7 linked regions of the Macaca mulatta genome follow. The protein of the gene in region 2 interacts with the protein of the main gene of each other region in a pairwise test. Links are inferred from orthologs where the notes say so. Each region holds a gene or a part of one and is shown on either strand. Other genes may lie near its edges.

Region 1 (3,500 bases), about 9.5 Mb from region 2:
TCAAAGTCAGAATAGTTGCACTAGGGTCTACAGGTCACAGAAACCAGTCCCACCTAATTTGGTCCATAATCTCTAGTAACATATGTCTGACTTAATACCTGCATGTCACTGCAATGGGCACCAGGTCAGGAGAAGCTAGAAAAGTAAAAGAAGGAAGAATAAAGAGCAGTAGCTTCCAGGTCTCTGAGAATTCCAGTCACCAAAAGCTCCTACCTTGCCTGGGCTCACAGGGACTCACCTAAGTCAGTGTTGTGGCTGGAGAGAAGCTGACGGAATTTTTCTAGGCGGGTTTTCTCCCGGACAGTCATTGGGGGGGCCCCAGAGGCGTTCTGATCCGAGATCCGGGCAACGAGGGGGATGATGGGCCGGAGAGGGAGTGACTGCTGTTTGTGGAGTGGGTTCCTCAGGCATGTATCACCTGAGATCATTTGAAAAAGAAACAGAATGGGCTGTGTGAGGAGCATGGATTCTGAGAAGCCTTAAACCTAATCGTTCAGCATCGTGTCTCCTCCCCAAGGCCGTGGCTGCCTGTGTGCACTGCCTGAGGTGCCCAGCTGAGGGGCAGCGAGGGACCAGAACCCAGCCACGCTCCATTCACTGCCCAGAGAAAGGGCTGCATTTATATCAAACACACCAAGGCACCTTAGGTGCTAACAGAGACTCCAGAAGCTGCAGCAACTTTTGAGAACTTTTTTGGTGACTCTAAAGGAAAATCAAATGTTTTCTTTCTGCCCCAACTTGGAACTTTTCTTGATGCCAAACAGTGAGTTTAGTTTAGTCTAAGGCAGAGTTTTCCTTCCCATTCCACATCCCAGAGCACATAAGGAATGATGACAAGGCAGATGACACCACAAAGCACAAGGCTGCAATAAATGGAGGTGGTTGCTCTCCACAAGCCCCGGAACCCCCGGCTGCTCCATGGACTAAGAGGATCAATATCTCCACACATCCTGTACCTGGTTCTTGGCCCATCAGTGTGCCCTGGTGAGAAGCTCTGGCCTAAGGCAATCCTGCCTTTGGTGGCTGCGGTTCCTTTGTGCACCTACATTTCCCACCAAAATGAACCAGTTCTTAATTCTGCCAGGATATGACTGAAATAACAAACAAAGACTCAAACTGAACTCTGTCTTGTTCTCGACATTTCTAGACTGGATGGTGGGTAGGGTGAATAAGCACTACAGGACTCACATATATTGAGTGTTTCCTATGTATAAGGCATATAGGTCACTTTTACATATGACCTCTCATTTGATCCTTAGAACACATGGTAGGAATGTATAACTATTTTACAGACAAGAAACTGCAGCTCAGGGAGATTAAATTATTTGCAAGTGAGAGGTGAAAAACCACCTTAGGTAAGCCTGACTCTGAAACTCTTGTATTATCACAAGCAAAACTCAGTTTTTAATTCTAGTTGTGCTTACATGACTGCCTCATACTCTTTACACGGCTGGGCCTTAAAAAGTAGTAGTCATAACAAAAATTAAACATTGAATATCAACCAACCAGTACTACTAGAAGGCTTACAAAAACAACTTCCACGAGGCAGTTGGCTGGGACGCCTAGTGTAACGAGAGGACTAGAAAATGCAGACACACTGCAGAGCTGAGACAGCTGTAAATCTCCGCTATTACCTATTTACAGACAGATGCCCGCAGGAGAAAACCTCCTCAGGGAGAATGCTCTGGGCTGGGCTGGGGAGGTCCTGGCTGCACAGGGCAGCTCATTATGGATCACAGTAGGGGCCTTCCTCACACTGGGAATCTCTGGAGACCCTCCATCACCGTGTGTACACACCTTCCACAGCCTGCAGCTGTGGCCACCTGGTCAGTAACACTGAATGCCTATCTGTGCATGGCACTGAAGGTTCACGCTAGAGCCCAAATCAGTGATGGAAAACAACTGTGGAATGATTGCAAAGACCTTACAGCCATGAAAAAAGTTCCCTCAGAACATGAGCCAGGGCTCTGATGTTCTTCTACTTCCTTTTCATCCTTTACCCGCTCACCGCTTTAACTCTCACTGCAATGACAAAGCTTCCCTCTCCAGTTCCCAACACACTTTCATAAAACCCATTAGGGCAACATTAAACACAACCATGAATATTTAAAGGAATACACTGAGAGTCCCCAAAGGTCTAATAAAACCACCATCGCATCAACCGTTACTCTGGCCAGTTTCCCGAAAAGAAACAGAGAGGCCTCTACTTCCATCCCACCCAACCTGATGGGACCTGCCTGATGGTCAGGAAGCCGAGACCTGGGGCCTTTAGGCACATTTGCTCCCTCCCTCAGGAACAGGAAGAGACAATTTTATGCTAGTAGCTGTTCCCCAGGGCTGAGAAAGTCAAACCACAGTGGCCAAACAATTGTGAAATTCAGCCACTAACAGCTTTAAATTAGTTAATATTTCTAAACCTGACCAGGACTAAAGCAATGTGAAGCAATCAAACCAGAAGTTTTGGACTCCACCACAGGGAAAGTAAGAAGAGAAGAGGAGAATGGCAAACAACACCTGGGTGTTAGAAAGTGAAGCCCCAGGTCACCAGACTGGGCAGCCACCACAAATCGCTTTTATTTAAAATGCACGCTGCTGAAAAGCCTGAGGCTATGAAGGGAGCAGGAAGGACTTACTAGAGTTTCTGGACAGCTGGGCATCACTGCTGGACTTTATGACCTTGTAGTTGGCAGGAACATCCGATGTCGTTGACTGGGACCGTTCTGGTTTTACCCTCAGCTTGCTGTGGTTTTCTAGAACTTGGGCTGCAGTTGCCAAAGCAACTTTTGAGTTCAGAGTTTGGAAAGAAGGTGAGGAAAAGTCCTCTTCCTCATCATCGCCAATGTCCCAAGCATCACTGGTATTCCGTGCAAACTCATGAAAACTGGAGGCCTTCTTATTCTTCAGAGGAACTGTGCTGACTTTTGATCGTTCTTTAATGAAACTTCAAGAAAGGAGACACAATTACCAAGGAATGGCCTGACACATCTGACCACCTGCATTTGCTTATTATTATAATGTTAATAAATTACAAACTACTCCATACATAATCATTAGCTTCTTCAAACAAAAACTGCCCATATCCATTCTTCATCTAGATACATCCAGACCAGCCTGAGATCGCAGAGACAGATGTAGCAGAGACAGCAATGGTCACCAAACATCCCATGTGCTCTTGTATACTTCCTGGCCCCCATGCACTTAGGTGAGGCCATATGACCAGTTCTGGCCAATGGACTAAGAAGAGAAATAAGGCGATTACTTCCAGGCAAAGTAGAGAATAGGTGTCAGTTCTGTATAACCTCTTTTTTTTTTTTTTTTTGAGACAGAGTTTCTGTCACCCAGGCTGGAGTGCAGTGGTATGATCATGGCTCACTGCAGTCTTGACCTCCTGGGCTCAAGTGATCCTCCCACCACAGCCTCTTGAGTAGCTGGGACTACAGGTGTGCACCACCATGCCTGGCTAATTTTATTATTATTTTCTGTAGACACAAGGTTTCACT
Region 2 (4,122 bases):
TTTAGTACAGACGGGGTTTCACCATGGCCAGGCTGGTCTTCAACTCCTGACCTCAGGTGATCCGCCCACCTCAGCCTCCCAGAGTGCTGGGATTACAGGTGTGAGCCGCCACCCCCCCCCATGCCCTGCCTTGTTTTTTTTTTTCTTTTCAAAACAAAATTCCCAGTTAGGTGCAGTGGCTCACACCTGTAATCCCAGCACTTTGGAAGGCCAAGGCAGGTGGATCACTTGAGGTCAGGAATTCGAGACCTGCCTGGTCAATATGGTGAAACCCCATCTCTACTAAAAATACAAAAATCAGCTGGGTGTGTTGGCACATGCCTGTAGCCTCAGCTACCTGGGAGGCTGAGGTGGGAGAATCACTTGAAATGTGAGGCAGAGGTTGCAGTGAGTCGAAACCTTGCCATTGCACTCCAGCCTGGGTGACAGAGTGAGACCCTGTCGGAAATAAAAAGAAAAAATTCCCATATACCCCTATCATAAATTAATACATCAGCCACTTGTCGAGGCCTTGAGAGATTGGAGGAAGAGAGCAGAGCAAAAAATTCAGAATTAAGGCATTGTCAAGAAAGGAGAATAACACAAAGAGAAGCAACAGTGGGACTTACACAAATCCACTATTAGCACTTGTCTGAAGAATGGTAACAACGCAAGCTAACTGTATCCAATAATTTTACCCATCTCAGCTTTGCCAAGGATCAACCTTGGTCTACGCAGTTAGCAGGTTAAACTATACTGACAGGTCTGATTTCCAAGGGTTCCAAACTTGGCTCCTCCACGCTTTCCCCAAAAGAAAGGGAATCTCTTAGTTCTCTGGGTGAGTTCCCACTGCCATGTGCAGTTGATCCCCCTCTACCTACAGGTTCTGGGTGACATGCTGGACAAGTCTAAGGGAAGTAACATCAGCTCTACAGAAGAGGGGAGCACCAGCAGAAGCGACTGTGAATTCCAACAACCCTTACCAAGAGTTCAGCTCGTGCCTGTTCCCCTTGGGCCCGACGTCTCTTCTTTAAATCTTTCACTCTTTTTAAATGGTCAAGCTGGTTCTGGATTTGCTCCTGAGAAAAGCAAAACAGATGGGCAGTTCAAAACTAGGTAGACCTTAGCATCAGCATGGTACTTCTAATCACACATGGAGTCCACACACCTGATGCCAAGTATCCAGTTGGCACTTGTTCTCAGGCCACACTGCCACCCACAAGAGAAAGACTCAGGGCGCAGGGGCCAACAAGCCACTCATTTGGCAATTTGTGTCTATCTTAGCAGCCTGTCGCTTCAACCACTCAGCTACCTCGTCAGGATTATTTGTGTCTATCTTAAACAATGAATCATCTACCTGTCCCTGGTAGGATATCGCATGACTTAGCGGAACTGTGACTGGAGTAGGAGGCTTAGAGTTATGTTGTATTGTAGCTCTTCCACACAAGCATACTGTGAAAGTGACTTCTTATTTCCCTCATGTGTGAAATGGGCAAACACCATCTTCCCAACCTACTCAAGAGTTCTCACCAGAGTAAGTGAAAGAATATAGCTGAAAGGTCCATAAATGTTAAGTGATTAATTACACATGAATGTATTCATATTTAAACACGGACATAATTGTGTATGAATTCCTGAAGCCCTCAACATACAGAAAATACACAGTATCATGGACTCCTTGAAGGTCACCTTACAACTGTTTTATATGTAATATTTTGTTTCCACGTTTCTGTTTAGCTGTGCCAGTTCACAGAGGGCTCTGTGCATCACATGATTCCATAATCTTCCTCATAACTGTTATCTCCTGAGTCTCAGAGTGGTTAAATGACTTAAGCAGTGAAGAGCCTGTTCTTTTCTGTGAGTTTCTAGACCAGGACGTATTGCAGGAAAGTGCTGGGGAAATGCTTATAGACCAAGGAATGGGCATCGGTCAGTTAATGTCCGACTGCGTTTTGTCTGACAGCCGACGAGAGTACATGTGTCTCTACAGCTCGTCGATGTGCAAGCGATTTTATGCACTTCTTTTATACTGTCAAAAGCATGTCTCCGTGTACAATGTGTCCGTGAGACAGGAAACATGGGGGCACACAGAGAAAGGAGAGTGGGGGTGGGGAGACTTCTGGCTCCCTCGCCAGCTACAGGTTTTCCTCCAAATCTGAGTGCTGAGGCTCTGGGGCGGACAGAGAGGAAATGACGGCTGTGAACCACACGTCCGGCTCAGCCATTTTCTAGGCGGAAAAAGGGAAGCCCCTTTGGCTCTCTCCTCCCTTTGTCCGACTCGCGTTCCCGCCCTCCCGGATCCGCGCCCTCACCTTGAAGCCCTCCACTGCCTCCTCGAGCGGCAGCACGCTGTGGCCGCGGTGCTCGCGGGAGCGGTCGCACACCACGCAGATGGGCATCTGGTCCTCCTCGCAGTAGAGCTTCAGGGGCTCGCGGTGTTTCTCGCACACGCCCATCTCGCCGCCGGGCCCCGACGGCCGCTCGGTGCGCAGCTGCTTCACCAGCTGGGTCACGTTGGCCAGGTGCCGGTTGGGCCGCATGTGCCTCTGCGGGAAGGTCTCCCGGCACTGCGGGCACGACACGTTAGTCTCTGCCGTGCCCCAGCAGCGGGCGAGGCACGCGCAACAGATGTTATGGCCGCAGTCGAGCATCATGGGCTCTGCGAAGTACTGCAGGCACACGGGGCAGGTGGTCTCCTGCTGCAGGCACTCGGCCACGCTCCCGGAGGCCATGGCGCGGGCCTGCGGGGGCTCACGGGCATGGGCCCCGGCGCCGAGCTCTGCACGGAGCCCAACTCTCCGGCGCTCTCTCCCGTTCGCTGTTCCTGGGAGGCACCGGGCGGACGGAGGGCGGTGCCTCCCGGGCCCGTATCCCAGACGCGCCCGCGCACCGAAGGCTCAGAGTGGCCGGGCCGATCCCTGCGCCTGTGCCCCCTGAGCGAGTGCGGGAATACAGCCGGCTCACAGAGACTCGCGGCCACGCTACTGGGGCAGGAACGGGTAGCCAAGGGTCAGGATCCCAGGGCCAGGCGCGCAAAGCGCGCAAGACAACGTGGCCGCGTCCGAGCGGATCCCGGCGGCCGCGTAGACCCCACCCCGGCGCGAGCGGAAGAGGCGGCTCGGGGGGCGGGGCTTGGCCCGCGCTTCTAGTGTGTGACAAGATTTCGTGGCCTCGGGGCCCGGGCTGCTTTCTCTAGAAAGGCCTGGGAGGCTCCGCCACTCTCCCTTGGGCGGGTCGCGCCGAAGCTCTAGCCTAGGGGACTGGTCACAAAAGCAGATGGTGCCACACGCTCCGGGCCTACAAGCTTCCGCGACTGCCGGGCCCAGGCCCCTAGTGTTTAGTTGGGTTTCTTCTTGGTGCCCAGGTCTCAGCCCCTGCTAAAGATGGCTTTGGCCGCGCGCAGTGGCTCACGCCTGTAATCCCAGCATTTGGGAGGCCGAGGCGGGTGGATCACGAGGTCAGGAGATCGAGACTATCCTGGCCAACATGGTAAAACCGCATCTCTACTAAATATAGAAAAATTAGCCGGGCGTGGTGGCAGGCGCCTGTAGTCCCAGCTACTTAGGAGGCTGAGGCAGCAGAATCGCTTGAACCCTGGAGGCGGAGGTTGCAGTGACCCGAGATCGCCACTGCACTCCAGCCTGGGCGACAGAGCGAGACTCCGTCTTGAAAAAAAAAGAAAAGAAGAAAGAAAGCTGGCTTTATATAGGTGCTGGGGAGCGCAGACATCTGGCTTCCCCAAGAGGCTGGAGGATGAGGAGGGTCACCGTCTGAGCCCACCTGATAGGTGAGGCCTTTTATTAAACAGACCCATTTGTAGGCACTTGCAGTTTTGTTTAGAAAAAGAAAGGTTTAATTATCAGATGGTAACATTTCTGTGTGGCAATAACAAGCCCAGCTCTGCTACCTCTCACTTGTGCCCAAGCAAGTTGGTTTACCATTCATTTACCTCAGTTTCTCCTCGTGTGAAATGGGGATGATAACTGTACCGCCGTAAAGAAGTAGATTTCGTTACATCTTTTACTTTTTGAACCATAAGGTTGTTTATCCATTAAAATAGTAACAAAATGCCCATTACATAGGGTTGTTGTATTGAGGAGCAACTAAAAATTGCTTGCTCCTTTCTGAAGTATAGAGAGACTA
Region 3 (4,167 bases), on a different chromosome or scaffold from region 2:
ATCTCTCACCTTTCACACAAACCCATGGCTACCATACGATATGGAGCTGCAGGAAAGATAAATTGCCCAGGGGCCCCCCTACTACTGAGTTCTGTGTTTACCCACATTCTCCAAGTAATTTATCATCATCTGGACCATCATCTCATATCTATAATGTATTCTACTATTCTGAACCAATTTAGCAAATCACATCCCTTCTCAATCCTTTCAATCATGCCATATAGAAATCACAACAAATTCTCCATATCCTAATTTCCTAAGGAAAATATAAGATATATTTATTTTCCTTAATTACTTAATTTCCTGTACAGTTCCCTCACTTTCTTGCCCTAATTGAAAGCTGGCTATTTTTTCAGGCTGCTTCTTCCTTAGTCCTCTCAAGTGAGGGCTATTTTTTCTTTCCCACCCATCTACCTTAGGACCTGGAGGCTGTAAATATTGTTCTATGTTTGTTACTGTTCCTTGCAAGCCATTTCTTCCTCTACTACTTCCAAAAAACCAATTCTTTTGAAGAGCCTGCTATTGGGCTTTACCATCTGTTGTCATACTCTCTCGGATCCCCAGACAACTCTGCTTCATTCACTGATCTCTGGCTCACTACCTTCTTATGCAACATGATTTTCATGATCATCTATATGGATCATCCATTCAATGTCTTGGACCCTCAAGTCCTCAATCTCAACCTCAACCTCACACCTCTGCTTCATCTTGGTCATCCACTGTCATGGTCATAACTTTGACTTTCTCATCTCCAACAACTGCATTAACCTTAAGCATCTGATTTTTATCACTCCCACTGTCCTTCATCACACCTACTTTAATACTTCCATTCCAAAAACTTTTAGTTGTTGTGAAGGCCCCTAATTCCTGCTTCTACAACTAGCCCACAAACCAGCCAGAATGGTGTCTTAAAAGGTAAATTAAATCATATCACAATCCAGTTTAAAACCCTCTAATCACATTTGCAATACAATCCAAATTACTTACCCTGGCTTCCAAGGACGTCTAAGATTAGGGACCCTGTTTATTTTCCAAATTTTTTTGTACCTTTACCCCCATTACCCGCTATACTCCAGCTACTCTGGCCTTCTTTAGTACTTTTGTGCTAACTGTTCCTGTTGTCTAAATTGTTCCCTCCCCAACCATATAGCTGCATCTTTTAGGATTCATGCCCTCAGAGAAGTTTTTCCTGGCCAATAATCTACAGGAACCTGCAAGTGATTTTTTTTTTTGACACAAAGTCTCACTCTGTCACCGGACTGGAGTGCAGTGGCGCTATCTCGGCTCACTGCAACCTCTGCCTCCCGAGTTCAAGCGATTCTCCTGTCTCAGCCTCCGGAGTAGCTGGGACTACAGGGACGCGCCACCACGCCTGGCTAATTTTTGTATTTTTTTAGTAGAGACGGGTTTTCACCATATTGGCCAGGCTGGTCCCAAACTCCTGACCTTGTGATCCACCCGCCTCTGCCTCCCAAAGTGCTGGGATTACCGGCGTGAGCCACCGCGCCCAGCAAGTGATTCTCTTTCACAAAACCCTATTTAATTTTCTGCATAGCAGTTCTAGGTAAAGTTTTTCTTTATTATTTATTGTCTATCTCCTCCAAAGAGAATGTTAGTTCCACGTGAGGAGTAAGCTTGTCTGCCTTATTTACTACTGATGATCCCATATTTTGAACAGTGTCAAGCACATGGTAGGTCTGCAATAAATACTATTGTTAAATAAATGAAAAAGCTAGTACAAAATAAGTGCTGTAGGAGTGAAGTGGAAGATAATTAGGAGAGGCATAATGCAAGAAGTGGCCATCTAAGTCCTCCAATAGTTCAAGAGATAGAAATGAGGCAGTGACCTCACAAGTAATGTACAAACAAAACATGCAACGTGTGAGAGAAAAACAAACAGTCCAGATACAGAGCAGTGGGGATGGGGAGGCAGGGAGAGTACTGTGCTGGAATATGCAGCTGAGTTCATACCAGATTATGGAAGATGTTGAATGCCCTGACAAGGACTTAGAATCTATTGGGTGGTCAATGGATGGCTGTGAGTGTTTGAATAGAAAAGGGACACAATCCCAAAACAGGCTTTAGTAAGATGATTCTGATGGAAATGAGCAGGATGTATCCGACGGAGTAACAGTTAGAGGAGTTGAAAAACAAAACAGCGTGGTCAAGAACATAGCTGTAGGGATTGGCTCTGAAAGAATAATGATCTTTTCTTTCTCCCAAAAAAATGGAGAAAGATAGACATTCTAAGCAAGTGAAACAGGTAGGGAAACTTGGGGAGAATGTAATTCCAGCATTCTGGTAAAAGAGTGGAACCGAACTGGAGGGCAGCAAAGGAGCCCACATGGCGTTAAGCCTGAAGGTGCAGTGTTCCCATTCAACAGAAACTGCTCATGACAGTGTGGAGCGGGGTGCCAGGGGGCGGGGGGGGGGGGGCGGGGGGGAGTAGTTTGCTTGGCGCGTGTGTGTGAGGAATTCGTTGGCTGAAGAGGGATCCTGAGAAGGTATTAGAGATACTGAACCCAGTCCTGCAGAAGCTACTTAACTTCGCAGAACTAGGGCGTCGCTGCCCTCCAGCACGTCCAAAAGTGTCCCCGACAAGGCCAGCAACTCTACCTGTTTCTTCTCCCTCCCCTAACTCTGCCTGTCCAAAGGCGCGACACTAGCCCACGTCACCCTTCTTTGGGGGCAAAGGGTATGGATGGTTCAATGCCAATCTCGTCACCCCCCCGCATACAAGCCCACCATCGCGCAAGAAGCTCGACCCGATCTACCTCGGTTCAGTGGAAAGCATTCATTTGCACAACGCTGTGCGCATGCCCGGAAGCCTTCAGCGTTTCAGCCTCCGACAGGGGCGTAATTAAAGGGGCAGGCGCCCACGTAAAGACGCGCCCTACGCAAGACACGGAGTTTCTCACTTTGTGGAGCCGCCTGAAGGCGCCAAGATGAAGCCATCGGGGAAGTGGGGAGGGGCCTGCCGGGTTGGCCCCGCCCCTCCACGGCGCTTCCTAGTTCGGCTGGTTCTTCTGTCGCCGGCTTCAGCAGCCCGCGCCCGGGCAGGTAAGGCATTCCCCGCCTTCATGCCTCGGTCAAAGGTCGTCCGAGGTCCGCTTCCAGGTCTTGGCACCTCTGCCTCAGGGTTGCTGTGGTAGGTTGCGGAACGGAAATCTCTATCATCCGTGAGAAAAGTTAGAGAGGAAGTGGGTTCCGTGGACAGAGCTTACTCCAGAAGAAAGACTTGGGTAGGTCCCCGGGAATCAAGAAGTTCGGCGGCCCTGAGAAAGAGCCTGAGGCTTGGAGGGACGTCACTCAGCTGTTCTGGGGCGCAGTCGGACCTCAAGTTTCTCACCTCCCAGGCCCTGGGTTCCGTGAGCCCGATTGCGAAATGAAGAATCTTCCCCAGAACCAGGAAGTCAGGCCAGCACCTGACAGATGCCTGTGGCTCCGACAGCTCGCGGAGCCTCCACACGATTGTAATTCGCTTGTTTCTCCGGCCTCCAAGCTTCCAGGGAATTAGAAAGTGGAGGGGGCTTATGGGATCAGATGGGTACATTCGCAGATAGGGGAAAAAGTGTCAGCTTGGAAGCCAGAGAGAGACAAAGGGATAAAAGCAAACCCTGTCCAGGTGCGGTGGCTCATGCCTGTAATCCCAGCACTTTGGGAGGCCGAGGCGGGCGGATCACTTGAGGTCAGGAGTTCGAGACCAGCCTAGCCAACATGGTGAAACCCCGTCTCTACTAAGATACAAAAATTAGCTGACATGGTGGCGGGCGCCCGTAATCCCAGCTACTCCAGGGGCTGAGGCAGCAGAATCGCTTGAACCCGGGAGGCGGAGCTTGCAGTGAGCCAAGATCGCACCACTACACTCCACCCTAGGCAACAGAGGGAGACGACGTCTCAAAAGAAAAAAGAAAAAAAAAAAAAAAAAAAAAAGCAAACCCTGGGAAAGCGAGAAAGCACTTTGAGCATTTAGAATGGAAAGAAACGGCGCTATTAGTGCTTCAAAAACGTAACTGCCCAAGGTCCCTTGTAAGCACAGGATATTAAAATCTGCCTTTTCCCTTTCTTGGAGTGGTCCTTGAAGAGGGCTATCAGGAAGTTCAAATTTCTTCTGTTTTCGTGCAAAGCGTTCGTTTGAAGTTTGCCTTCTACGTCTCCAAACTGAGC
Region 4 (3,500 bases), on a different chromosome or scaffold from region 2:
TGAGACTGGTCTGGGCAACAAAGTGAGATCCTGTCTCCTCTACAGAGAAATTTAAAAATTAGGCCAGGTTCTGTTTCTCTTGGGTTGATTTTTCACAATCCTACCCACGCTCCACCTGCCAGGATACTGCACTGTCTACATTCAGGCCTCTTGTGCACACACAGCCCATGTGCAGCCCATCTTAGTTCAGAAGGAATATCTGCATTTCTAAGCTCAGTTTAGACTGGTTTCTTCAACTTCAACCAGAGACATGTGCTTAATATCATTTATTTGGGAAGGGAGGATTTTTCCACCAACTTTGAGGTCCCCAGGGGCATGCCCTGTATCTTTTTTCAGGGCTGACTCACAGTTCGTTTTGTGCTTATTGGATGAATAAATGAGGGAACAGAGAAGGTAATTTAATATTTGCCTTTCTTATTTTTAGATAAAAAATATAAGTAGAATCAATATTTTCTTCTTGCACCCATGTGACAGTTTGAGCACCCCAGGGCAATGGACTGCTGAGAAGCGCCACGGCGTGGGGCACAAAGTTCTGCTGGTGCTGCCTCATAGGGATGTAAGGATGTCCACTTACAGGCACAGCAGTGGACAGGGCTAAGTGACCTGGGAAAGGTGACTGCTCTCTCTGAGCCTCCATTTTCACTCAGTCAGTGCTGGGGTAAAAACACGTGTAAGAGACAAGGCACACAGAGCATGCCATCGTCGTCTCTACCTTTTGACACAGTCAACGCTGGAGACCACTGAGACCGCAGGATATCAAGGCAGATGCTGCCATTGCTGTTGATATTAGGGTGATAAATTTTGGTTGTGAAAGCAACCTGCAAAGACAAGAGATCCCAAATCAGACAAACCACAGGGACGTCTGGGAAAAGAACCAAGTAAAGCAGGAGCAGCCACTGCTGGGCTGTACCTGGAGTGTGCTGCATATCTGGCCCCACAGTGCAGGCTGAGCCAGACACCCACTCCCAAACTCTAATGGGATATGGAAGTGAGTGATCACCCAGAAGTTCCCTGACCCATTCCCTGCTGGATTCTCATTCTGAACATAGGGGGATTGACACCGTCTCCCTGAAAACAGTATGTCCTGAGGAGTAACAAGAGTGGCAGAAAGGACTCAAAAGCCCAGAAGTTTTATGCAAAAAGCAGTGATGTTTTGTTGATGTATCAGCAGAAAAGCCCAGGCCCAAAGACTTCATGACTAAAACACCAAAAGCGATGGCAACAAAAGCCAAAATAGACAAATGGGATCTAATGAAACTAAAGAGCTTCTGCACAGCAAAAGAAACTACCATCAGAGTGAACAGGCAATCAACAGAATGGGAGAAAAATTCTGCAATCTACCCATCTGACAAAGGGCTAATATCCAGAATCTACAAAGAACTTAAACACATTTATAAGAAAAAAATCAACCCCATCAAAAAGTGGGCAAAGGATATGAACAGACACTTCTCAAAAGAAGACATTTATGCAGCCAACAGACATATAAAAAATGCTCATTGTCACTGGTCATCAGAGAAATGCAAATCAAAACCACAATGAGATACCATCTCATGGCAGTTAGAATGGCAATCATTAAAAAGTCAGGAAACAACAGATGCTGAAGAGGATGTGGAAAAATGGAAATGCTTTTACACTGTTGGTGGGAGTGTAAATTAGTTCAACCATTGTGGAAGACAGTGTGGCGATTCCTCAAGGTATTCCTCTAGTTCTAGAAATGGCATTTCTAGAACTAAAAATACCATTTGATTCAGTAGTGATCCCATTACTGTGTATATCTACTATAAAGACACATGCACACGTATGTTTATTGCGGCACTATCACAATAGCAAAGACTTGGAACCAACCCAAATGTCCATCAATGATAGACTGGATTAAGAAAATGTGGCATGGCCGGGCGCGGTGGCTCAAGCCTGTAATCCCAGCACTTTGGGAGGCCGAGACGGGCGGATCACAAGGTCAGGAGATCGAGACCATCCTGGCTAACACAGTGAAACCCCGTCTCTACTAAAAATACAAAAAAAACTTAGCCGGGCGAGGTGGCAGGCGCCTGTAGTCCCAGCTACTCGGGAGGCTGAGGCAGGAGAATGGCGTGAACCCGGGAGGCGGAGCTTGCAGTGAGCTGAGATCCGGCCACTGCACTCCAGCCTGGGTGACAGAGCGAGACTCCGTCTCAAAAAAAAAAAAAAAAAAAAAGAAAATGTGGCACATATACACCATGGAATACTATGCATCCATAAAAAAGGATGAGTTTGTGTCCTTTGCAGGGACAGGGATGAAGCCGGAAACCATCATTCTCAGCAAACTATCACAAGGACAGAAAATCAAACACTGCATGTTCTCACTCATAGGTGGGAATTGAACAATGAGAACACATGGACACAGGGCGAAGAACATCACATACCAGGGCCTGTTGGGGGGTGGGAGGCTGGGGGAGGGATAGCATTAGGAGAAATACCTAATGTAAATGATAAGTTGATGGTTGCAGCAAACCAACATGGCACATGTATACTCTATGTAACAAACCTGCACGTTGTGCACGTGTACCCTAGAACTTAAAGTATAATAATAATAACAAATAAAAGCTCAGGCCATGGACCCTCTGCCAGGCCACAAACCCTCCCCACCTTTCTATTTCACCCTTTGTAAGACCACCCCCTTCTCAGAATTTAGTCCTAAAATACCCTTGTGCACTTCAAATATGTAAGGATACCCACTGTAACAAAAGATGTGAAACCTAAATGTCTTCAGATTGATTACTGGTTAAATTAATGTTATAAATAAGCAACAGAATATTACACAACTGTTTAAAAAGAATGAGGTGAATTTTTAAAACATGAATGTGATCATATGGAACAATTTCCAAGACATATTGCTATGGGAAAAGCAAGATGCAGATTCATGGAAACGCCTGTTCCATTCATGGGAGAAACAAGGAAGCACAAACAAGTGCTTATCCAGGTGGAGATTACTCCTGAAAGAGAAATGAAATGACAAGTAAGACTCAGTGCCTTGTGGGAAAAAAAAGGCGGGGGGCCGGGCATGGTTAGAGAGACAAAGTTGAAAGAAGGTCCTATTTTCTACTGTATACTCTCCTACATTTGACTTTTTTTTTCTGTTTTTGTTTTTGTTTTTGTTTTAAACCACAGCCACACACTACTTCTTCAAATGACCTTGGACCTCAGAGCCTTCACTATAAATAGGTACATGGTACCTCTCCCAGGGATGTTGTGGGACCCATGGAAAGTCTGCTCTCTGTGATGTGCAAGGTGTTCTGAGTCAGGTGCAGCTTCCACTGCTACAGGAGCCTAAGAATCTGCCTCACCTACACTCCCTCTGGGTGAGCAGTGACCTCAACGCAGGGGCTGGGGCAAAGGAACATAAGGATTTTGCCGGCTGGGCGTGATGGCTCACACCTGTAATCCTAGCACTTTGGGAGGTCGAGGTGGGTGGATCACAAGGTCAGGAGTTCGAGACCAGCCTGGCCAATATGGAGAAACCT
Region 5 (3,936 bases), on a different chromosome or scaffold from region 2:
GCTGGCCAAAAGGAAGCAGTCCAATGTACTGGGTTCTCCTTTCAGTGACATGACCTGATGATCTGAGACAAATTATCTTACCTCCCAGTGCCCCAGGTCCTGAAGAGTCAATTCTACTTGCTGCCAGATAATGGCCATGATGCAAATAACATATTTACCCTGGTAAGGCATTACTCTGGTTACTACTGGCATTGGAAAATAATTACTCTCATTATAGTTTTGTCTGCATCTGGGGATTAACATTCTTCTAAGAGTAAGCCTCTGGCTCTTTCAGGACAAATGGTCCATACCTGTGTTTTACAAATCACCCCAAATAGGTTGCTACCAGCTGTAATTCTGGTCCCTATGTGGCAATAATTTCATTTCCAAGCTAAGAGAGTAAGAAAAAGGTCTTCTGGAATTGTCAATATGTACTGCTTGAAGAACGCTTGAGCTCCTCTTCAGTGAGGACTGTGTGGGCCTAACCCTTTCTAGTTGGGGTCATCAGGCAAGATCACCATCTGAGTTGCTATGGACTGCAGATATGCTGTTGTGTCCATCAAGACACCACAGAACTGACTCTCAAAACCTTTAAAGTAATTCTAGAAAATCAAAGCAAAGAGAAAAAAGCTGAGTTTTTTTTTTTTTTTTTTTTTTCTGAGACCTGTCACCCAGGCTGGAGTGCAGTGGCACAATCTCGGCTAACTGCAACCTCCACTTCCCGAGTTCACACGATTCTCCTGCCTCAGCCTCCCGACTAGCTGGGACAAGTGTGCACCACCACACCCGACTTAATTTTTGTATTTTTAGTAGAGACGAGGTTTCACCATGTTGGCCAGGCTGGTCTCAAACTCCTGAACTCAGGTGATCCGCCCTCCTCAGCCTCCTAAAGTGCTGGGATTATACCGTGCTTGGCCAAAAGCTGAACCTCTACTAACCCGTGGGGTGGCATTTGTTCTAAATGGATAAGAAAGGCCATCTAGAATAAAGGAGAAAGAGGCGATCTGGAGTCAACTTCAAATTATAACTTTGCTATTTAGAAGCTATTTGGACATATTACCTGACCTTTCTATCAGTAAAATACAGGCAGTGAAATGACTGTTAGGAGGGCTACACAAAGCAATGTACGAACAGCGCCACTGCCAGCACATGGCTCACAGAAAAGCTGAGCATTGTGTATACCTCTTGCTTGTGGTAGTCACCACATTCCACCTTTGATGACAGGCGACTGAACGTGTACGTATCGGGTCCCACTTCTAGACTGTAAACTCCTCGGCAGCAGAACTTTAGAGGCATTTAGCATAGTGGTCAACAGCATAGATGTAAGAATTCAACCCCAGCTCCAAGTCTTGTTACCTTGAGCAAAGTACGGAACTAAATGTGTCTTCATCAGTAAAATGGAAATAACACCACGTATTAACACGTATTCCATGGGATTGTTGAGCAGATCACTCGAGAAAACACAGCCGAGAATATGAGCACTTTCCTAGCCCACAGTGAGTGCCCGATACATAGTAGTGATTATCTTTTCCTGTCTTGTGTCCCTGATACCTGCTAATGACATCTAGCTAATACCTATAGATTTAAAGGTTTATGAAACTTGAGACATTATCCCACCCACAGAAATCCAAAAATATCAGTAAGTATCAAGATGCCAAGGAGAAGGGTCCCCTACCTCTGGAAAATCTCTTGCAGCGTATCCCGGGTGAAGGCATTGCTGTCCTGGAAGACGTTATTGAGGGCGTGGAGGGCACAAAGCTCCCTGCGCTGTTTCTCATGGTAGATTTGTGGGGGTGCTGCCTGGGGCAGCTCCAATGATTCAGATTTGGCCTTGTCTCCTTTCCATGGCACACAACTCATGTTTTTTGTTTTAGGTTCCAGAGATGGCTATAAACACCCTACTCTTCCCTCCAGAAGAAGAATGTAACCTTCTCAGTCTTTTCCGGGTTCCTGAGGTTCACCTTATTCTCTGGTGTCCATGATTTATGCTTTGTCACTGGGAGAAAAGACTGGAATCAAAAGGAAAAAAAAAACCCACCTCTTTTCTCTTCTCAAGAGAAAAATAACTTTTGGATTACTTTCATTTTGCTACCACTGTCAAATTGCAGAATTAAAAAAAAAAAAAAAAAACCCATAAAATGTAAGACCTTGTTTCCGTTTCCCCACCCTTCCCTCCCACCCCCCTCAAAACTCCCCACGATTTTCTTGCTGTTTCCCTCTGCAAATGCCAGGCCTCAAAGCAGGAGGACCGAACAGCATCGGTCACATCGCTCCTTTTCTTCCATTTCTTTCGAACCACGACGCCACTGACTCGGGAGACAAGGCCTGGGTGGCGGATAACGCGCACGAGTCGAGCAGCTAGCGCGGGCCGGCAGGCGTGGGACCGCGAGCCGCGCGGGGGCCTCGGGGGCAGCCCTCCATCCCCTTGGGTACGGTGGGGCCCGCAGGGCGCGGCTCCCTCGGAAGGCGCGGACTCTCGCCCTCTGGCCGCGGCCCTGCGGAGGAAGAGACAACTCCGGTCAGCGGCGAGCGGGCGCGGGAAGTGCGCGGCGGGGCCGGCCCCTGCCCGAGGGAAGGTTCCTTCCGCGCGGCGACGGGTTGGCCCGCAAGGGGTGGGGCCGGACAGTCAGCCTCGCGCTCCTGAGCCCGGACCCACCCGGTTCGCCGCCCCTACACCAACCTCCCCACCCGTCACGTGAGCGCAGGCCCAGACGCCCTCCCGCCGCGCCCCTGGCTGCAGACCCCAACGCCGTCGGGACCGCTCAACGCCAGCCGTCCCCTCACCGACAACGGCCGCCACCTGGAGTGCGGGCCGCCAACTGGGCCGCGCGGGCGGGCGCGCGCACCTGAGCCCGACGTCACCGGCCCCCGCCCGACGCGTGCTCCGGAAACGCCCTCTGGCGCCGTCCTCGCTCCTCCCAGCCGTGGCGTCACGCCTAGCGTAGGTGTGACGTCATCGGCACCGGCCTGGGAGCCGGGGACGCCGGGCGTGTACGGGCCAAGTTGAACGGTTGGGGTGTGGCGGAGCAGTGGGTGTGGGGCTGCGGGCTGCGGAGCTCGGCGGCGGCCGGCAGGATTGGGGTCCAGCCGCTCGGCTCTGCGCTGTCCCTGGCGGGGCGGGGTGGGGCGGCCTGAGGGAGTCCTGCAGGCCAGCGGCTGCCGTCCGCGGCTTTCCGCACCCCTCCCCTCTCTGGGCCAGGCTTCTCGGCCGAGCGTTCTCGCTCCTTCTGCGTTGACTGTTTTCTGTGTGGCTAACGCGCGGCTCACCAGGGGGGATTTTGGAGCACCTGATTCGGTCGGGCGCAAATTGCCTTGGTTAGTGGGCCCGACCGTGCCGCACTGTCCAGGGAGCGCCAAGGGTAGGTGCCTCGCTTTGAGTCACATTTCAAGTGGAAAGGAGACTCCTGTTGCAGTTCCGTGGTGTCGCATTTCAGTTCACTACACACAAGCCACTGCCCTCTTGCCTGGGGGCTCCCCGCTCTTCTCACGGTGGCTTTCCTCTCTGCAGAGACCTCTGCGCGAAGTATACCTAAGCGCATTGTGTGCGTCGTCGGGAAACGGCGAACTACTCGCAGTCCCACGTGGATTTCATTTTTTTCCCTTTACCTACTCTTAGGGTGCGTGGTAGGCATCAGTATCCACCTTAGCTGCCCTCCTTTGGGGTTTTTCGTAAAACTGGAAAAACGAGAAGAAATTGCACTTTAAATTTAGTTTGTTTTTGTTTTTGTTTTTGTTTGCGACGGAGTTTCATTCTTATAGCCCAGGCTGAATTGCAATAGGGCGATCTCAGCTTACTGCAACCTCCACCTCCTGGGCTCAAGCGATTCTCCTGTCTCGGCCACCCGGGTAGCTGGGATTGCAGGCCCCTGCCACTTACCCAAGGCTAATTTTTGTAGTTTTAGTAGAGATGGGGTTTCACCATGTTGGCCAGGCTGGTCTCGAACTCTTGAGATCCAA
Region 6 (3,500 bases), on a different chromosome or scaffold from region 2:
AGATGATCATGGGCCCACAGTAAAGTGTGGACATGTGTGAACACAGGTATTGCTTGTTTATTCAATGGAGGTGTGGCCGTGGATCCCTAAGTTGTCTTTGGAGGTGGTGAATACAGGCCGTCTCATCCTTCTCATGCACTGAATGTGCCCTACTGTACCCTGAGGAGGGGGCAGGGAGAGGCAAATGCCTGATCCAGCCGCTTGTCTCCACAGGCGACCACCCCTACGAGTGTGAGTTCTGTGGCAGCTGCTTCCGGGATGAGAGCACACTCAAGAGCCACAAACGCATCCACACGGGTGAGAAACCCTATGAGTGCAATGGCTGTGGCAAGAAGTTCAGCCTCAAGCATCAGCTGGAGACGCACTATAGGGTGCACACAGGTACTGAAGGCCAGGGAGGGGTCTGAGCTGGCTCTGGGACCTGGGTGGAGGTGGGAAGCAGATGGTCTCCTGGAGAAGCCTAAGTGAGGATGATCCCAGGCTGAATCAAAGAGTAGAAGAGGTTCTATTAAGGGCTGGTATGATGACCTGAGGGCCACCACACCCCAGTCAAGGTGGCCTGAGGGCCACCAGTCAAGGCCAAGGCAGACATTACTAATCAATCCCAGCACACTTTCCAATGAGCCCCCACCAGCTCTCCAGGCAGTTATACCAATAGTTCAGAGGTGACATGCAAAATGATGTCTGTATATGAGTCCTAAATTAGGGGTAAGTTGGTCCAGTTAGCTGGAAGCGAAGGTTAGGTCCAGTTAACATGAAGCGAATTTCATGTTACTCAAGGGTTACAGTAAGAATTAGGATGCATTGAATCAGGTTATGATGGAAGTTGGGAAATTGTAAAGTTAGATTGTGTTTGGTTCTGAGATTAGAAGAGCAGATATATTTAATAATCCCTATATGCATATGATGTTTTACCATTTCAGAGTGCCTTCACATTTTTTTTTTTTAGACAGAGTTTCGCTCTTGTTGCCCAGGCTGGAGTGCAGTGGCATGATCTCAGCTCACTGCAATCTCTGCCTCCTGGGTTCAAGCAGTTCTCCTGCCTCAGCCTCCCGATTACCTGGGATTACAGGCGTGTGCCACCATGCCCGGCTAATTTTGTATTTTTTTTTTAGCAGAGACGGGTTTGCCATGTTGGTCAATCTGGTCTCGAACTCCTGACCTCAAGTGATTCACCCGTCTCGGCCTCCAAAGTGCTGGGATTACAGGCATGAGCCACCATGCCCGGCCACATTATTGTTTGTATTGGAAAAAGAAATGTGGGCCACTGCTTTTCCTGAGGTCAGAAGACAAAAGAAGTGAAGGGTCTTCCACAGTGTCCGAGGTTGGGGGCAGTGGAGTATTGGAGCTTGCTTGTGAAAGCTAATTTTTCACATTTCTTCACAACTTCAAGTTCAGCGACATCACCTTAGTTGCTTAAAATTGGCCCTGGTAGGAGTATTCACATCATAGCAATCAGCAGATGCTACAAACCAGGGCTTTTTAGAAAGCCAGTTGTTAAACATTTACCACCAGCACATTGCTGGTTGTGGGGAAGGCTGATTTACAGAAGGGTAAGAGGTGGTGGCACATGGAAAACAAAGAAACCCCTCTGATCGGGGGGGACAGCTGTCCTGTCCAGAGGAAGGGGGAGAGGTGGCTTCAGGCAGGTCCTGCTGGCTTAGAGGAGAGTACATTGCCTTTGGAGGGGAAGGGTGGACAGAAGGAGCAGTAAGCAGAGCTACGTGTTGTCAGAGCTCAGTTTTCGTGCCCCAGTTTGAGCCCCCAAGGACAGGGTTGGGTGTCCATTGCTGACACCTATAGTGACCCAGAGGATTTCCCAGAGCCCTGGGGTTTCCTTAGCCCCTTGTCGGGGATGTGACCTGGCAGGTGGATCATTAACTGTATTGGCAGTGACTATTGTAAATAGCTGGTCGATGGTTAGATCACTTTGGCTGTTCATTACTTCATTATTTGCTGGGGCCTGTGCACGGAGGAGTATTGATAGCGAGATGGCTGGCCAGTTAATTACTGTATTGAAACAAGGTTCCCTCACATCCTCTGCTCAGCTCTAGGGGACTCTATGGAAGGAAAGTTGGGGTATAGAAGGCTAGGGTGTGGCTGTGTACTCCCAGGTTCTTTATCCTTCCCATCCCACCCCACCCCCAATTCTAGCCTCAGGAGGGAGGCAGGGTCCAGGGCAAAGTCTTAGCAGTTTTAGCAGGATAGGCCGGGTGCGGTGGCTCATGCCTATAATCCCAGGACTTTGGGAGGCCGAGGCAGGCAGATCACTTGAAGTCAGGAGTTCAAGCCCAGCCTAGCCAACATGGTGAAACCCTGTCTCTACTAAAAATACAAAAATTAGCCAGGCATGGTGGCAGCACCTGTGATCCCAGCTACTTGGGAGGCTGAGGCAGGAGAATCACTTGAACCCAGGAGGCAGAGGTTGCAGTGAGCTGAGATCGTACCACTGCATTCCAGCCTGGGCAACACAGTGAGACACCATCTCAAAAAAAAAAAGGCTTTAGCTGGATAGAGGTTCCCAGGTGCGGCATATTTGAAGGACTGGGTTCCCTCAGTTTTCCCCCACCCCTGCTCCCCACCATCTGTAGCCCTGAAAGGTCTCGATCCACCTGCTCCCTGGATGGAACTGCGGCTCGAAGAGCCATTCCTGAGGACCGTGGGGCCTTTCTCTTTCTAGACACTCATTTTCTTAATTAGAAAGGGAAAAGACTGTGGCCTTAGGAGAGTTAAGAATAGTAAGACAAGGAACTGGGCAATCCAGTAGTCAACTAGCTACATGTAGCTATTTAAATTAGTTACAATGAAATAAAATCAGAAAACTGTAGAGCTCCAGTCGCACCAGCCTCGTTCATAGCCATGTGTGACTGGTGGCTGCCGTCTTGGGTGGTGCCTTCATTGTCCCAGAAAGTTCTGTTGGAACAAGCCCAGCAGGAGGAACCCAGCTTCCCTGGCACACCTGAGGGTGACATGGTGCCCTCACCGCCCTCTGTCCTCACTTTCTCCTGCCCTGTCCCTCTGCCCTCAGGTGAGAAGCCCTTTGAGTGTAAGCTGTGCCACCAGCGCTCCCGGGACTACTCGGCCATGATCAAGCACCTGAGAACGCACAACGGCGCCTCGCCCTACCAGTGCACCATCTGCACAGAGTACTGCCCCAGCCTCTCCTCCATGCAGAAGCACATGAAGGGCCACAAGCCCGAGGAGATCCCGCCCGACTGGAGGATAGAGAAGACGTACCTCTACCTGTGCTACGTGTGAAGGGAGGCCCGCGGCGGTGGAGCCGAGCGGGGAGCCAGGAAAGAAGAGTTGGATCGAGATGAAGGAAGGACTATGAAAAATAAAAAAGGAAAAGAAAAAAAAAAAAGAGAAGGAAAAGGAAACCTGATAGCTTTTTGGCCTTGGATTCTCTCTGGGCTCCAGATGACCTGGATGCCAAGCCACTGCCCCTCCTCTGGGGGCCTCCACCCTCCTCTCCCGGCTGGAGGTTTGCCTGATTTTCT
Region 7 (4,102 bases), on a different chromosome or scaffold from region 2:
CTCTGCCACTTAAAGCTGTTTGTGACCTCAAGCAAGTTACTTAGCCTGTCCAAGTCTTGATTTTTGAACTGATAAAATGAGAGATAAATGCGAGGATCACATGCAAAGCTCCCATCACAATGCTGGCATACAGTAGTAATCAAGAAATGTTAATTCTAGACGTCAATTCTTCCTACATGACACATGAATTTTCCCTAAAGAAAACTGATGATGACAAAACAGACCCCTACAATGATCCCCACACCAAGTCACATCCATAAGGCTCTTGTTACCTTGGCTGAAGCTGGCCCCTTCCAGTTCAAGTATTGCTCTAGTTCTGTGCCCTTAGCCCGGGCCCTGGAGGAGTCAAACACTTTCCTCTTGGAACCCTGTATCCTGCTGCAGATGTTGGAGTGTCTCTCCAGCCTGAACAAGAGGAATTTTCGCCCACAGTGGCTGCACTCACCCAGCTGTGGCTCTTCAGTGGAGCCGCTGGAACCTGAGGAGTCTGGTGCCATGGACAGGCTGGAATTTCTGGCAGATCCCTGCAAAGCACCGCCTGGTGTTTCTGAAGGCGGGGAGAACTTCTCCATCGACGGCTCTGAGACTCGGTCTCGAATTTTGTTATTGCTTGCTACCAGCCTTTCCCTTTTGAGTCTCTGAATTCTATAATCAGAGAGCTGGAATGGACTCGAATTTTGTTGAGACCGTTCCCAAGTTTCATCCTCTCTCCTGTCTCTACTAAATTCTTCCTCAAAATCAAATTCTGGGGAGAAGACAGCTTTGTGCGTGGTGTTGCTGTTATTACCTTTAACTCTGCTCCTGGGGAATATAATTTTCTGTAGCTCTCTGTTTTCATTTTCCTTGGCCTGCTCCTTTTGCGTCTGGATCCTTCTGAGTTCCTCCTCTGTCTTCTTCAGCTTTCCCCTCAGGAGAATCTGCTTTCTTCGGATTTCCTCCTCTAAGCTCTCCCCTGCAGCTTCTAGTCTTCGGATCTGCACCCACTCCATCCTGTCCAAGTTTGCCAAGGCCTTCTCCGCCTGCATGGCAGCAAGAACAGGATCAACCACAGAAAAGTTGACCTGGTTCCTCACATCAAAGTTCCTGGATGAAAACTCTCTCAGTTCAGGGGGCCTTGGGTAGACATTCTGGTCCCCATCAGTGCCAGACTCACCTGTACTGCACGACTTCCTGTGGACCACGGGTTTCAGTGGGTACGCCCGGTCCACTCCAACTCGTTTCTTTGTAAAGGGGATAAAGTCCTGGTTATTGGCTTTGGGATACCAGGATTGAGGGCCTGATGAGTAAATTTGTTTTACTTGGCCCTGGAAATCACTTCCTGCATCTTGGTGGCTGATTCCAGTACAGTGGGGATAGGAGTAGCTCCGGGCTTTTGTGTTCCATTTGGGGTGAGTGTGGACTTTATCCAGAGTCAACTCTTTGTTGCTCAAAAGCTGCTTCTGGAAATTGTTCCTCAGGTGCCCCTTCAAGGACTGCTGGGAAGAGTCACTTTGTTCGTAAGAGTCTTGCTTGGCTGAGTGGGGCCCTGGAGCTTCTGTTGTATTATGTGGAAGCATAACGCCCACAGGCAGATGTGATGCCAACCGCTGGAGACCAGCCATTCAGGGCCTGGACTGATGCCTACGGGAGATTTAAACCAGATACATGCGAAGAGTTTGTCTGAGGTTCACTCTCGTCTGCTAAAGCAAACTATTTCTACATTTGCCCTGCCCACATTTCCTTAAACTTTTCTGGGGACAGTGGTGCTGGATCTGCCAAAGCTTCCCTTCAAAAACCATTTGGTGAGTGATTACTATGCACAAGACACTGTGTTAGGCCCTGAGGGTAGAGAAACGGAGGTGCTACAGGTGTTCCTGCCACCTAGCTCTCCTCTCCTCCAGCACCAGCCTCTGCCACGCACAGTATACTCTACAGTAAGTGGAAAGAGCATCGGATTGAAAGTCAGGTTTTAGGCCTGTAACAGGACAAGCGACTTCTCCCTTGCTGGCCCCCGTTTCTTCACCTGTAAACTGAAGGGTTCCGTCCGAGTCCATCCTCACCATTTTACAGGTGAGCAAGCTGTGGCCCAGAGGTAGTGACTGGCACAAAGAGCTCTCAGGGCTTCCCTCCTGCTGGAACCGTGCTTGATTCAAAAGAGCACAGAGGCTGCTAGGGCCTGGAGCAGGTGCCTGGCTGTCAAACCCTCATCTCAGGAGTCCCCGTGGCGCAGACGGTAAAAGTTTTGTAACCTGAGCGTTGAGGGCCACCTGACCTGGCTGCAGCCGGTTTTAGATCCTTAAGGCTGAAGTCACGTTCTGTCCCGAAGGGTCAACTGGGGCGCCCCCACTACGGACTCCGCCTCTGGGGACAAGTCCTCTCTCTCTCCTGCCCTTCGGGCCCTTAGGAGGTGCTGACCCTCTGTCTCCCCGCCCTTCTGCGTACCTGAGGCCCTCGGGCACCGCTCCTGCTCAGGGAAAACCCCAGGGCCTAGTTTCCCAGACCCGACCTCCCCCTCAACCGACGGCCGCGCAGGCGCTCTCAGCTAGCTTCTGTTATTCCCGGTGCCTGGAGACCGAGTTACTGGCGGGCCAAGCTCCGCCCCTCGCTGCGAACTCCTTGGGGAGGCGTGCGCAGGCGCAGTGCACCAGCGACCCGGGGCGACCGGGGGTGGGGGGTGCGGTCAGCCCGACCGTCACTTGACCCAGTCAGTGTCCGGCCAACTCTGCAGCCGGGTCCAGCCCTGCCCTTGGGGAGCCGAGGAAGGGCGGGAGAGGCTTTTCTGGGGCTCCATCAAAGAAGAACTTGTACTTTCCTGAGAACGATGCTCCCAGACCTTGGGGTGTGCCCTTCACTGGCAAAGGGCGGAGGCCCTGGCTGTGCCTCCGCGTGCTTCCGCCGCAGGGTGCAGGCGACCGCCTGCCTGGTGGGAGCGGGGCTGCTGCTGACCTTTCTCGGCGCGCTTGGCTGCGCTGGGCGGGCCCCAGGTATGGCTGCACGTGCGCGCTCCCTGCTTGTCGTCGCCAAGTCTTTGGAACTTGCTGCCAACGTTTTTGCTACGCAGTATCTTTCCGGGGTAATTTTTGTGGCCAATCTAATTATTTTGATATTATAATGTTTTACTCTCACGTGGTAACTCTAGCCGTCTGTACTTAGGGCGTAGGAATGACTCAGCCAAGTGTAATGATAATAAAGAACTACCAGATCGAAAATAATCAGTATAACCTGGTTTCAACAGTAAATGATACTCTGTAACTTGTTGACATCAAAAGAAAGTTTATTTTTTTTTCTTCGTTTCAGTTCATCTGTGTAGGACGTTGGGAACAGGCAGTTCGCTTTTTCCCTGTAACTACTCAATTCATGCACTTGGAAAATAATGTAGACAAGCAGTCATCAGTGTTAATACTTCAACATGTCATATTACAGCTGTTACCTGTTACAAAGAAATTCCTTGGTGGACCCTCCAGGTCAGTCCTTCTTTTTTTTTCTTTTCTTTTTCTTTTTTTTTTTTTTTTTTTAATTCCTCGTTTTCATCCCTTGTTGCCTGCACCACCTCTACATATATGCAGCTCCAGATGTTTGCCACTCTACTCAGGGTCCCAATTATCAACTCCCGCAGCTTCCCTCAGCAGAATGTACGGGCTTTCTCTTTCTCTCTCTCTCTCCTCTTCCTTCTCTCCCTTTCTTCTCTGTCTCTGTCTGTCTCTGTCTCTGTCTGTCTCTCTCCCTCTCTCCTTCCCTCTCCTCTATGAGAAAGAAGGGCCACTTTCCATGAGTTCTCTTGAATTAGTGCTTTTCAGTACCCTCCGGGAATTGACTCCATCACTTTACCCCAGCGTTTTGTTTTTGTTTTCTGTTTTGTTGGTTTTGAGGGTTTTTTAAAATTTGTTTGTTTTTTGAGACAGAATCTCACCCTGTTGCCCAGGCTGGAGTGCAGTGGCGCAATCTCAGCTCACTGCCACCTCCGCCTCCTGGGTTCAAGTGATTCTCCTGCCTCAGCCTCCCGAGTAGCTGAGATTACAGGCGTCTGCCACCACACCTGGCTAATTTTTTGTATTTTTAGTAGAGATGGAGTTTCACCATGTTAGCCAGGCTGGTCTTGAACTCGTGACCCCAGGTGATCCGC

The links.
Region 1: the proteins of TRIM27 (region 2) and TBC1D22B interact in binary tests that used the Homo sapiens proteins (3 or more experiments, as listed by UniProt). The link is inferred for Macaca mulatta from reciprocal best matches to the Homo sapiens genes TRIM27 and TBC1D22B.
Region 3: the proteins of TRIM27 (region 2) and PUS7L interact in binary tests that used the Homo sapiens proteins (3 or more experiments, as listed by UniProt). The two-hybrid records come from large-scale screens. The link is inferred for Macaca mulatta from reciprocal best matches to the Homo sapiens genes TRIM27 and PUS7L.
Region 4: the proteins of TRIM27 (region 2) and UBE2D4 interact in a two-hybrid assay, tested with the Homo sapiens proteins (2 studies listed by BioGRID and IntAct). The link is inferred for Macaca mulatta from reciprocal best matches to the Homo sapiens genes TRIM27 and UBE2D4.
Region 5: the proteins of TRIM27 (region 2) and JOSD1 interact in binary tests that used the Homo sapiens proteins (3 or more experiments, as listed by UniProt). The two-hybrid records come from large-scale screens. The link is inferred for Macaca mulatta from reciprocal best matches to the Homo sapiens genes TRIM27 and JOSD1.
Region 6: the proteins of TRIM27 (region 2) and ZBTB16 interact in binary tests that used the Homo sapiens proteins (3 or more experiments, as listed by UniProt). The two-hybrid records come from large-scale screens. The link is inferred for Macaca mulatta from reciprocal best matches to the Homo sapiens genes TRIM27 and ZBTB16.
Region 7: the proteins of TRIM27 (region 2) and ZC2HC1C interact in binary tests that used the Homo sapiens proteins (3 or more experiments, as listed by UniProt). The two-hybrid records come from large-scale screens. The link is inferred for Macaca mulatta from reciprocal best matches to the Homo sapiens genes TRIM27 and ZC2HC1C.

What each region holds. Positions count from the first base shown.
Region 1 is NC_133409.1:144,959,887-144,963,386, forward strand, and holds part of TBC1D22B (TBC1 domain family member 22B), read right to left. Parts: intron 2,942-3,500; coding exon 2,634-2,941; intron 419-2,633; coding exon 239-418; intron 1-238. UniProt on the Homo sapiens protein: May act as a GTPase-activating protein for Rab family protein(s).
Region 2 is NC_133409.1:154,415,366-154,419,487, reverse strand, and holds the start of TRIM27 (zinc finger protein RFP), read right to left. Parts: upstream 2,801-4,122; 5' UTR 2,712-2,800; coding exon 2,292-2,711; intron 1,059-2,291; coding exon 963-1,058; intron 1-962. UniProt on the Homo sapiens protein: E3 ubiquitin-protein ligase that mediates ubiquitination of various substrates and thereby plays a role in diffent processes including proliferation, innate immunity, apoptosis, immune response or autophagy.
Region 3 is NC_133416.1:50,752,677-50,756,843, forward strand, and holds the start of PUS7L (pseudouridylate synthase PUS7L), read right to left. Parts: upstream 2,801-4,167; 5' UTR 2,795-2,800; coding exon 2,775-2,794; intron 1-2,774. UniProt on the Homo sapiens protein: Pseudouridine synthase that catalyzes pseudouridylation of mRNAs.
Region 4 is NC_133408.1:84,413,322-84,416,821, forward strand, and holds part of UBE2D4 (ubiquitin-conjugating enzyme E2 D4), read right to left. Parts: intron 819-3,500; coding exon 713-818; intron 1-712. UniProt on the Homo sapiens protein: Accepts ubiquitin from the E1 complex and catalyzes its covalent attachment to other proteins. In vitro able to promote polyubiquitination using all 7 ubiquitin Lys residues, but may prefer 'Lys-11' and 'Lys-48'-linked polyubiquitination.
Region 5 is NC_133415.1:12,822,230-12,826,165, reverse strand, and holds the start of JOSD1 (josephin-1), read right to left. Parts: upstream 2,801-3,936; 5' UTR 2,660-2,800; exon of another isoform or gene 2,475-2,659; 5' UTR 1,840-2,474; coding exon 1,655-1,839; exon of another isoform or gene 1,070-1,654; intron 666-1,069; exon of another isoform or gene 1-665.
Region 6 is NC_133419.1:114,997,010-115,000,509, forward strand, and holds the end of ZBTB16 (zinc finger and BTB domain-containing protein 16), read left to right. Parts: intron 1-213; coding exon 214-381; intron 382-3,028; coding exon 3,029-3,258; 3' UTR 3,259-3,327; downstream 3,328-3,500. UniProt on the Homo sapiens protein: Acts as a transcriptional repressor. Transcriptional repression may be mediated through recruitment of histone deacetylases to target promoters. May play a role in myeloid maturation and in the development and/or maintenance of other differentiated tissues.
Region 7 is NC_133412.1:148,262,503-148,266,604, reverse strand, and holds the start of ZC2HC1C (zinc finger C2HC domain-containing protein 1C), read right to left. Parts: upstream 2,801-4,102; 5' UTR 2,422-2,800; exon of another isoform or gene 2,003-2,421; intron 1,621-2,002; 5' UTR 1,602-1,620; coding exon 273-1,601; intron 1-272. Other genes in the region: ACYP1 (acylphosphatase-1), read left to right, coding at 2,801-2,963.